Linked DNA regions of Sus scrofa. The protein of the gene in region 1 purifies or fractionates together with the protein of each later gene. This does not show direct contact. Links are inferred from orthologs where the notes say so. Each region holds a gene or a part of one and is shown in the gene's direction. Other genes may lie near its edges.

What was found. The genes of interacting proteins can lie anywhere in the genome.
Region 2: the proteins of STX11 (region 1) and VAMP8 purify together in Homo sapiens (co-immunoprecipitation; 3 studies listed by BioGRID and IntAct, counting the BioPlex papers as one, with this or other methods). This does not show direct contact. The link is inferred for Sus scrofa from reciprocal best matches to the Homo sapiens genes STX11 and VAMP8.

What each region holds. Positions count from the first base shown.
Region 1 is NC_010443.5:21,167,522-21,171,754, reverse strand, and holds the start of STX11 (syntaxin-11), read left to right. Parts: upstream 1-1,433; 5' UTR 1,434-1,822; coding exon 1,823-1,892; intron 1,893-4,233. UniProt on the Homo sapiens protein: SNARE that acts to regulate protein transport between late endosomes and the trans-Golgi network.
Region 2 is NC_010445.4:59,189,869-59,194,544, reverse strand, and holds the start of VAMP8 (vesicle-associated membrane protein 8), read left to right. Parts: upstream 1-1,379; 5' UTR 1,380-1,793; coding exon 1,794-1,796; intron 1,797-3,739; coding exon 3,740-3,898; intron 3,899-4,676. UniProt on the Homo sapiens protein: SNAREs, soluble N-ethylmaleimide-sensitive factor-attachment protein receptors, are essential proteins for fusion of cellular membranes.

The sequences.
Region 1 (4,233 bases):
ATAACTAAATGGTAAAAAAAAAAAAAACAAAACTTTTTACAAGATATACATATATCAAATCACCACTATTGCATACTTTAAATTTCTTACAATGTTGTCAATTATACCTCAGTAAAGCTGAAAAAAAATGTGACTTGATGATTCAAGATGAATGCATAGTTTAAAAGGAAAAATCATAGCATTAACCAGGAGGATCATTCAAATGAGTATTGTTTCCAAAATAAAGAGAGTCGTAGAGATAAGCGAAATAGAAAATACCCCATTGCACCTTTCTACTTCTGGAACAAACATTCATGGTTTTGCTTCATCAAAAAGCATTAAACTGATGTAGTTTTATATTATATTGTATTATATTATATTATAGTATAGCATATTAATTTATTTATTTTGTCTTTTTAGGGCTGCACCTGCAGCATATGGTGGATCCCAGCCTAGGGGTGGAATTGGAGCTGCAGCTGCTGGCCTACGTCACAACACAGCAATGCCAGATCCAAGCCACATCTGTAATCTATATCACAGCTCACAGCAACACCAGATCCTTAACCCACTAAGCAAAGCCAGGAATTGAACCTTCATCCTCATGGATACTAGTCAGGTTCGTTTCCACTGAGCCGTGACAGGAACTTCAGATGTTGTTTATTTTAATATCATTAATTTTATATTTGTAATGTGTAGATTGGCTTGGATCTGGTTTGGTTTCTAGATTATAGTTTTTTTGGTTTTTGGTTTTTTTTTTTTTTTTGTCTTTTGTCTTGTTGTTGTTGTTGTTGCTATTTCTTGGGCCGCTCCCGCGGCATATGGAGGTTCCCAGGCTAGGGGTTGAATCGGAGCTGTAGCCACCGGCCTACGCCAGAGCCACAGCAACGCGGGATCCGAGCCACGTCTGCAACCTACACCACAGCTAACGGCAACGCCGGATCGTTAACCCACTGAGCAAGGGCAGGGACCGAACCTGCAACCTCATGGTTCCTAGTCGGATTCGTTAACCACTGCGCCACGACGGGAACTCCTAGATTATAGTTTTTTAAAGAGTCTGTAGTCATAAGGCATTTATGCCATGTTTATGTAAGGTACCTTGTACTTACATTCAGGTAAATTGTCAATACTTGGTACCACATAATCTGTTTCTCTTGAAGAGGGGTGTGCTCATTACTTAAGTTGGAGAGATAATGTACTAGGACCATGAAAGAAACAAGGTATGAATAGATTATGTCCAGCACCCATATTTGCACTGTAATCAATTATAAGTTTCAATCTGCATGAGGGCATTTGTTTTATAAATGTTTCTTTGTGACTAGGGATGTTGAGTTGTGGCAAAAGTTCCTGTTTCATAATTCACCTTTGCCATCATCAACTTGTAGAAAAGAGGGTTTCCAGAAATCAAATAGAGCAGGCTGCTTTCAACACCCAGTGAGGCAAGGCCGTGCCACCTCTTACCAAGGATCACACAAGGGCACGTCCATAAGGCAAGGAGCTGGAGACCAAGAAGAACATCTGTCGACTTCTCAGAGTTCTTCTTAACAAGATCATCATCCCAAGAGCAGATACACTCAGGGAAAGACTGTCCATTGAATCTGTGAGTTCACTGCTCACACTTCTGTTTCTACTGTATCTATTTTGACTGTATCGCTTTTTACTAAATTCATCTTTAAAACATTCATTTGAAACATGTTTATTTTTTGGGGTGCCAATATGGTACTTTTAAATTTCCTTTGGGTCCTGGAAGAAGGCTGGTTGTAACCCATGAACTCATAGGAATTATAAGCCATCTCTGAAGAAGGAATCAGAGTGTGTTAAAGGGAAAAATAAGTGGAATAAAGACATGGAGCTGCAGCAAGAGGATGGAATGGATGAAGAAGAAAAAGAGAAGAAAACCATGTCTCCATCCCAAAGTAAGGCTTTTTTTGCTGTAGAAATATAAAGTTTATAAATGGATAGCACAGATTCTTCTAAATGAACAAAACATGGATGTAAAAAAAACTGGTTAGTCTACTGGTGAAAGCTACACTTTTGAGAACTAATTTAAGTATTCAAATGCAAAAGCAGTAGGCTTATGACTAAATAGTATCTGTAAAAGGCATGGCTTATTTGTTACATTCTGTTTGTGCTTTTTCTGTTTCACTTTTATCAGTTCCGCAGGACAGGGCTATGGTGCAAAAAAGGGTTTACCAAAAGTGAGTATTAAGCAACAGTCTCATCCTAAAATACTTTCGCAAGTTGTTATGCAAAATCTCGGTTGCATTAAGAGCTATGAAACAGATCCATTATACTATTTCTAGACCAGATTTTTTTTTTTTTTTAGCCCATTCTCTTTCACAGCATATGTTCTATTGGTATGCATAGAGTAGCCAATACATGTTAAACTTCAGGCCCCTTGCAACAAATACGCCACTATGTCAGAGGAAAGTTTTCATTTCATGGCAATTTGGGTTAAAATAAAAATATAATAGTATAATTTCAGGAACTGTAGGCAAGGATAAAATTTAACTAATACCAAAATAGTTCCATTTCCATCCTCATTTTTTACCCCTTCTTGTGTACCATGCACAGAAAAATAAGCTTCCTGAACAAGAGGTTTGCTTTTCTCTGAGAGTTCTCTGTTGCATTCTTTTTTGTTGTTAGCAATTTTTCTAAGCTTACTGCGATGTTGACATTGCTTTCTGAATGCAGGTAACCAAATGAAATAAGTCATTGGCTTTGGAACATTCTTAGCTTTTGGTTCTTCTCTAGTCTTTAATGTTGCTCTTAGATGCTGTATTGGTCGTTAAAAACATAGCTTTTCATGTTGGACACTAGGATTTGAATCTAGGGTCCTTTGCTTCTTGGTGCTGGGACAGTGGACAGAAGATTTTAAGGCTCATTTCCTCCTTTGTCAAATGCGGGTGAGTTGTGCATACCTTGTACATTCGTGATGCAAATCAAACAAGATAATATATGAAAATGTTAACACCGTGCTTGGCACATTGTAACCAAATGATAAGTGTTGGTTATCTTTGATAAGAGTATTAGCATTATGGGGTTTATTTATTTATTTTTTAATGATCTGCTGTCTGCTAATAATTGTACGTTTAAATTGTGAGCTTCAAAGGTATTTTAATCTGGTTGGGCTACACGCCAGGCAAAGATACTCAGACTGGGTGGCTTATAAACAACAGAAATTTATTTCTCACAGTTTCAGAGGCTGGGAAATCTAAGATCAAGGTGCCGACGAATTTGGTGTCTGGTGAGAGCCCGCTTCCTGGTTCACAGATGGCTATCTTCTTCCTATGTCCCCACACAGCAGAAGGGGCCAAAGAGCTTTCTGGGGCCTCTTCTACGAGGGCACTAATCCAGCTCTTGAGGGCTCCAACCTTCATGACTGAATCACCTCCCAAGGCTCCATCTTTCAATACCATTGCACTGGGGACCAGGTTTTAACGCAAGGATTTTAGGGGGACAGAAACACTCAGTATTTTAGGAAAGGGTTAGAAACTGTGTTCTCTGGTAAGCTGTGTATATTGAAAAATGATAGCTTGTTTCAAGTACTGAGGTAACGAGTTACACACAAGCCTTTGGAAACCTTAAAAATTTACCTATTTACTTTATAAAACCTTATTTCTATATTTACATAAATTACATTTTACGGACTGAAGCTATACGCAAAATGATTTTCCTGTGAACCTGAGAAGATCTTTTTAGTCTGAGCGTACCAGAGAAAATTTCATATTGTATGGCATACCACCTTGTTTCTTCAAAAAAGCTAACCAATGGATTTAAATAAGATGAAAATATCATCAGGGAAGATTTCCGTAGACTCGAAGTATAAACGTTCAAGAGCTGGCTCCCCTTTAAGGATGCTGCCTGTGTTAGAGTCTCCTTGTGAAACAGAAGGCACATTCAAATTAGAATAATTCAAGGAAGGTTTATGAATAAGGGCACTATTTTAAAGGTGTTAGGCAGGTAGGAACCATAGTACCCCAGGCTTGAGACTCATGAGTAGAGAGAGGGGTCTGGAACCAAGACAGAGAGAATCATGTAGAACAGGACACTTTAGAGGAACAGGGACCTGATCCTGAGAGACACAGACAGCCTTTCTGTTGGGAATAAATTTCCTGACCTCACATCCCCTGCTTCTGCTCTCCTGTACGAGCTCCCTACTGTCCAAGCCCAAGGGGAGCCAAAGGACCTAGGAGCCTGTTATAAACCATTCAGCTCAACCTCCCAGGGTTGAGATCAGGACAGAAGGTGGTAGAA
Region 2 (4,676 bases), on another chromosome or scaffold:
CATAATAAGTCTTTGAAATCTGTGGGGGTTTTTTGTTTGTTTTGTTTTTAGGGCCACATTCATGGCATATGGAGGTTCCCAGCCTAGGGGTCTAATTGGAATACAGCTGCCAGTCTGTGCCACGGACACAGCAATGCGGGATCCGAGCCGCATCTGCAACCTATACCACAGCTAACGGTAATGCCGGATCCTTAATCCACTGAGCAAGGCCAGGGATTGAACCCGCAACCTCATGGTTCCTAGTTGGATTTGTTTCCATTGCACCACAAAGGGAACACCTGAAATCCGTGTGTGTGTTTCATTTACTCTTAAATCTCATCAGAGTTCAGACTAGCCACATTTCAAATGTTGAACAGCCACTTGTGGTCCAAGGCTACTGTACTAGACAGCAGCAAGTACAGATCAAAGGTTCTGACCTCCCTCTTCTTGGCCACATTGTAGCCTTTCTAAGGATGCTGAGGAGTCCAGGAGCCACATTCTCTGAAAGCAGGCTGTTACTATGCACCAAATTTCAGAGCTGCAGAAGATAATAATCTTATCTAATTGGAAGAAGGTTTCATTATAAATTAAAATTAAGGGTCTCAAAATGCTCCAGAGGTCCAAAATGTATGAGACTCTTTAAAAAAGCATTTGTCAGAGAAACTAACATTTCCCTCTTGGAACTGTTACCTCTTCTGGGATGGGACAGGAATGTTTGTTCCCTTCTGCACGTCCCTGTTATTGTTCTTCTGTCTTGATAAACACCATCCAGGAAGAGTGGATTTTCTCTGGCCTGGAGCCAGGTTGGTGGAAAAATCCTTTGCCCTGGGCCCCTTTTCCTGCTCCATAGGGCAGTCGTCTGACTGTTTCTGACAGGGCTCACCAACCCACATGGTGGCTCCTGAAGAGACGTACATGCAGGACTGTTGAACTCTGGAAGGAAAGGGGGGTTGGTGAGCCATCATTTCCTGATTCCAGCAGTGGGCAGCCCTTGGTTCCAGACACTGTGCTAGGCACATGCTATGTTCTATCCTTTTATTCCTCACCACCACCCTCTGAGGTCAGCGTCAGCACCTGCAAAACCCAGACAGGCAGAGGTTCACTCAGGGTCTGCAGCCTTCTGACACCAGAGCCCAGAATCCCAGCATTCCAGACTCTGGGGGTTTTAGTGCTTTCTACACTAAAACAGACTTGGGAGCAAGGTCTGTCCAGAAAGTGTTCATCTCTGCATCCTGTTCCCATGCGAACAAGGTGCTGAAAGTTGAGTTCAATCTCCAAGAATTGAGGGTCAGATATTCAGGACTTTAGAAAAAGAAGCGGGACTTCCCGCTGTGGTGCAATAGGATTGGCAGCGTCTCTGCAGCTCCAGGACGCAGGTTTGATCCCCAGCTCAGCACAGTGGGTTAAGGATCCAGCGTTGCCGCAGGCTGCTTTGGTCGGCTGGGAATTCCATGTGCCGTGAGGCGGCCAAAAAAAGCGGGAGGGGGAGGAGATGGCTGCCCTTTCTACGTCAGTAAACCTAGGAGGGCTGCCTGATCTTTTTTTCCCTGGTTCCTGATACGTGAGAAGAATTGTGGTGCCAGGGAGCCCTGTGGCTTTAAGCCTAAGCCCTGGCAGGGGAGGAGACTGGGAGGGCTGTGGAGGGTGCCCGCCTACCTGGGGAACCTGCGCGAGGTGTGGCCGGAGCGGCTCGGGATGCGAGGTGGGCGGGGGCGGGCTGAAAGTTGGACAAGCAGGAAGTGAACCGACGGCCGCCCGGGAGGAAACCGATTTAGGCGAGTTCTGCTGCCGCCAGGCCCCAGCCGCTCGGAGACATGGTGAGAGAGCTGGAGACTAAGAAGGGGCTGATTTCAAGCCCAGCCAGAGGGTTCGAGGGGGAGGGCTGGGGATCAGCAAAGGAAAGTTAGTGGCAAAGTCCAGAGGGCCGAGCCAGCGCTGTGGCCTGTCTTCTTTGACAGTTCGTCTGCAAATAGTTCGGAGCTGCCTTGGGCGGGTGTTCCTGCTCCTTCTTCGCTCCCTCCCTCCCCTGACCCCGGAGCCGGCCGGGAGGGGGGCTCCGGTGGGGGTGGGGGAGTCCTAATTCTTCTCCTTCTCCAGCCGGCGGGCCCGCGGGTGTTGTGACATTCCTGGGCAGCGCCTCTGCTGTTCCCGTCGCAGGTTCCAGCCCAGCGGCGGAATCCCCCTTGCCTTTCTCTCTATTCTTGTACAGAAACGCAAAGAATGTGTCTCTCCCCTGAATCCAAGGAATCTAGCTCATCTCCATTAACGTGAGGAAGAGAGCTAAGGGTTTGAAAGTCAGAAGTGGGTTTTCTGTGAGTGTCTCGTTTGGACCCACACCAGAAGTCTAGTGGGTCAGGGAGGGAGTTTCTCCCTCCCTGTTCAAAAACCTTATCATAAAGCCTGGGGATGAGGCATCAGGCCAGGAAGAACTTGCCCTCCATTTCCCCCAACGCCCAGGCTGCTGTTTTTATTTTATACTTGCTTAAGCAGGCAGTGGCGTGGTGCCGGCTCATGACGCTAAATGGTGGGGAAAGCAGAAGTTTGTGGCCCAACGGCTCTCTGGTGGGGCCTTGTGAGGGACTTGTAGCCTGGTGGCTGTTGTTCTGGGTCACAGCCATCAGGCTGCCCAGGAGGTCCGGAGAGAGAGGGAGAGTTGAGCTGGGTGAGGGTGGTCTGCGGGCTGGCACAGGCATTTTTACTGAGGACCCTATGGGATTTGAGAGTTGGTGAGGAGCAGTGGGGCTGTGCACTGTGAAATGCCAGCTCAGCTGTCTCCTGGAACCCTCTTTGAGGAAAAGAAGCAGTGGAGAGGGGTTTGGTAGTGGTATTTGTCATGCACCCTGAGAACCCACAAAGAGGTTTGATTCAATGTCTCCTAGCATGGCTCTTTACCATCTGGGGCTTAAACATGTAGGTTTTTTTCACTGTGCCCTATGGCATGTGGAAGTTCCCAGGCCAAGGATCAAACCCAAGCCTCAGCTGTAACCAGAGCCACAGCAGTGGTAACACCAGATCCTTAACTTCCTGAGCCACTGGGGAACTCCAGATGCTTTATTTTATTTTATTTTTTTGTCTTTTTGCCTGTTCTAGGGCCACTCCCGCGGCATATGGAGGTTCCCAGGCTAGGGGTCTCGTTGGAGCCGTAGCCGCCGTCCTACACCACAGCCACAGCAATGCAGGATCTGAGCCATGTCTGCAACCTACACCACAGCTCACAGCAACGCCAGATCCTTAACCCACTGAGCAAGGCCAGGGACTGAACCTGCAACCCCATGGCTCCTAGTTGGATTCGTTAACCACCGTGCCACAACGGGAACTCCAAAATCCTGTTTTTTTTTAAATCTTTTTATTTTAGGGCTGCACCCTTGGCATATGGAAGTTTGCAGGCTAGGGGTCATATCAGACCTATAGCCGCTGGCCTACACCACAGCCACAGCAACAGCAACGTGGGATCCAAGCCAAGTCTGTGACCTACACCACCACAGCAATGCTGGATCCTTAACCCACTGAGCAAGGCCAGGGATCGAACCTGCCACCTCATGGATGCTAGTCAGATTTGTTTCTGCTGAGCCACAATGACGGGAACTCCTGCATTTGTTTTTTTATTACATGCATACTTAGCAGAAAACCTTCTCTTTGTAAATAGTTCAAGCATTACAAAAGCTTAAGTCCATCTTAGGCCTCCCCCTCCTCTGGCCTCTGAGGCTGAGTCTCAGTCCCTCCACCACTTGGCTTAATTAACCGTTTTGTTGCTGCCCAGGAGGAGGCCAGTGGCGGTGGAGGGGATGACCGCGTGCGGAACCTGCGGAGTGAAGTGGAGGGAGTCAAGAATATTATGACCCAGAATGTGGAGCGGATCCTGGCCCGGGGAGAAAACTTGGACCATCTCCGCAACAAGACAGAGGATCTGGAAGCCACAGTGAGACAATGGGGAGCCTACTGGGGGCCAGAGGAAGAGGGGGAAGGAAGATTCTTGGGGGTTTGGGGATTGGCTGTCTTGGTGGCAGATGTTCAGGAGGGCAGTCTGCCTTTTCACCTGCATTGGGAATTGATGGGAGCAGATTCCCCACTTCTGATTCTGCTCTACTCCACTGATTGGTGCTGGGGTCCAGGGAATGGGTTCAAGGACTGGGGCTGGGGTGCATGGAGAGGGTGGAGGTGGGTGCGGACCCATGGAGGCATTTCCTGAGACAAATGGATGGCTCAGTCAGCCTGTGTCTTCTGAGGCTTCTCTCCTAGGAGACTTTCCCTTTGAAGGCTGCCCTTGACAATCATTTGGATCTGGCCTTCCCCAGGGCAAAAATATTGGCTCCAGAAAATCCTCTTAGGGCTCTAGGCCTTCCCCAGGAGTTGTTAGGCAGGTGGTGGAAAACTGTTAAGAATCTTGCTGAGCCAGCTTTAAAAAGAAGGTGGGAAAAGCAGTAAAAGTCTTTGATCCAGGGTTCTCTGCTAGCTAAAGGCTAGAATAATATCTCCCACATCTTTTTTTTTTTTTTTTTTTTAGGCCATCTGGTACCTGTAGCATATGGAAGTTCCCAGGCTAGGGGTCCAATCAGAGCTGTTGCCTCTGGCCACAGCCACAGCCACAGCAGCTTGGGATCCAGGCTGGATCTGTAACCTACACTGCCCCTCACAACAATGGCAGATCCTTAACCCACTGGACAAGGCCAGGGATCGAACCCGTGTCCTCATCGATG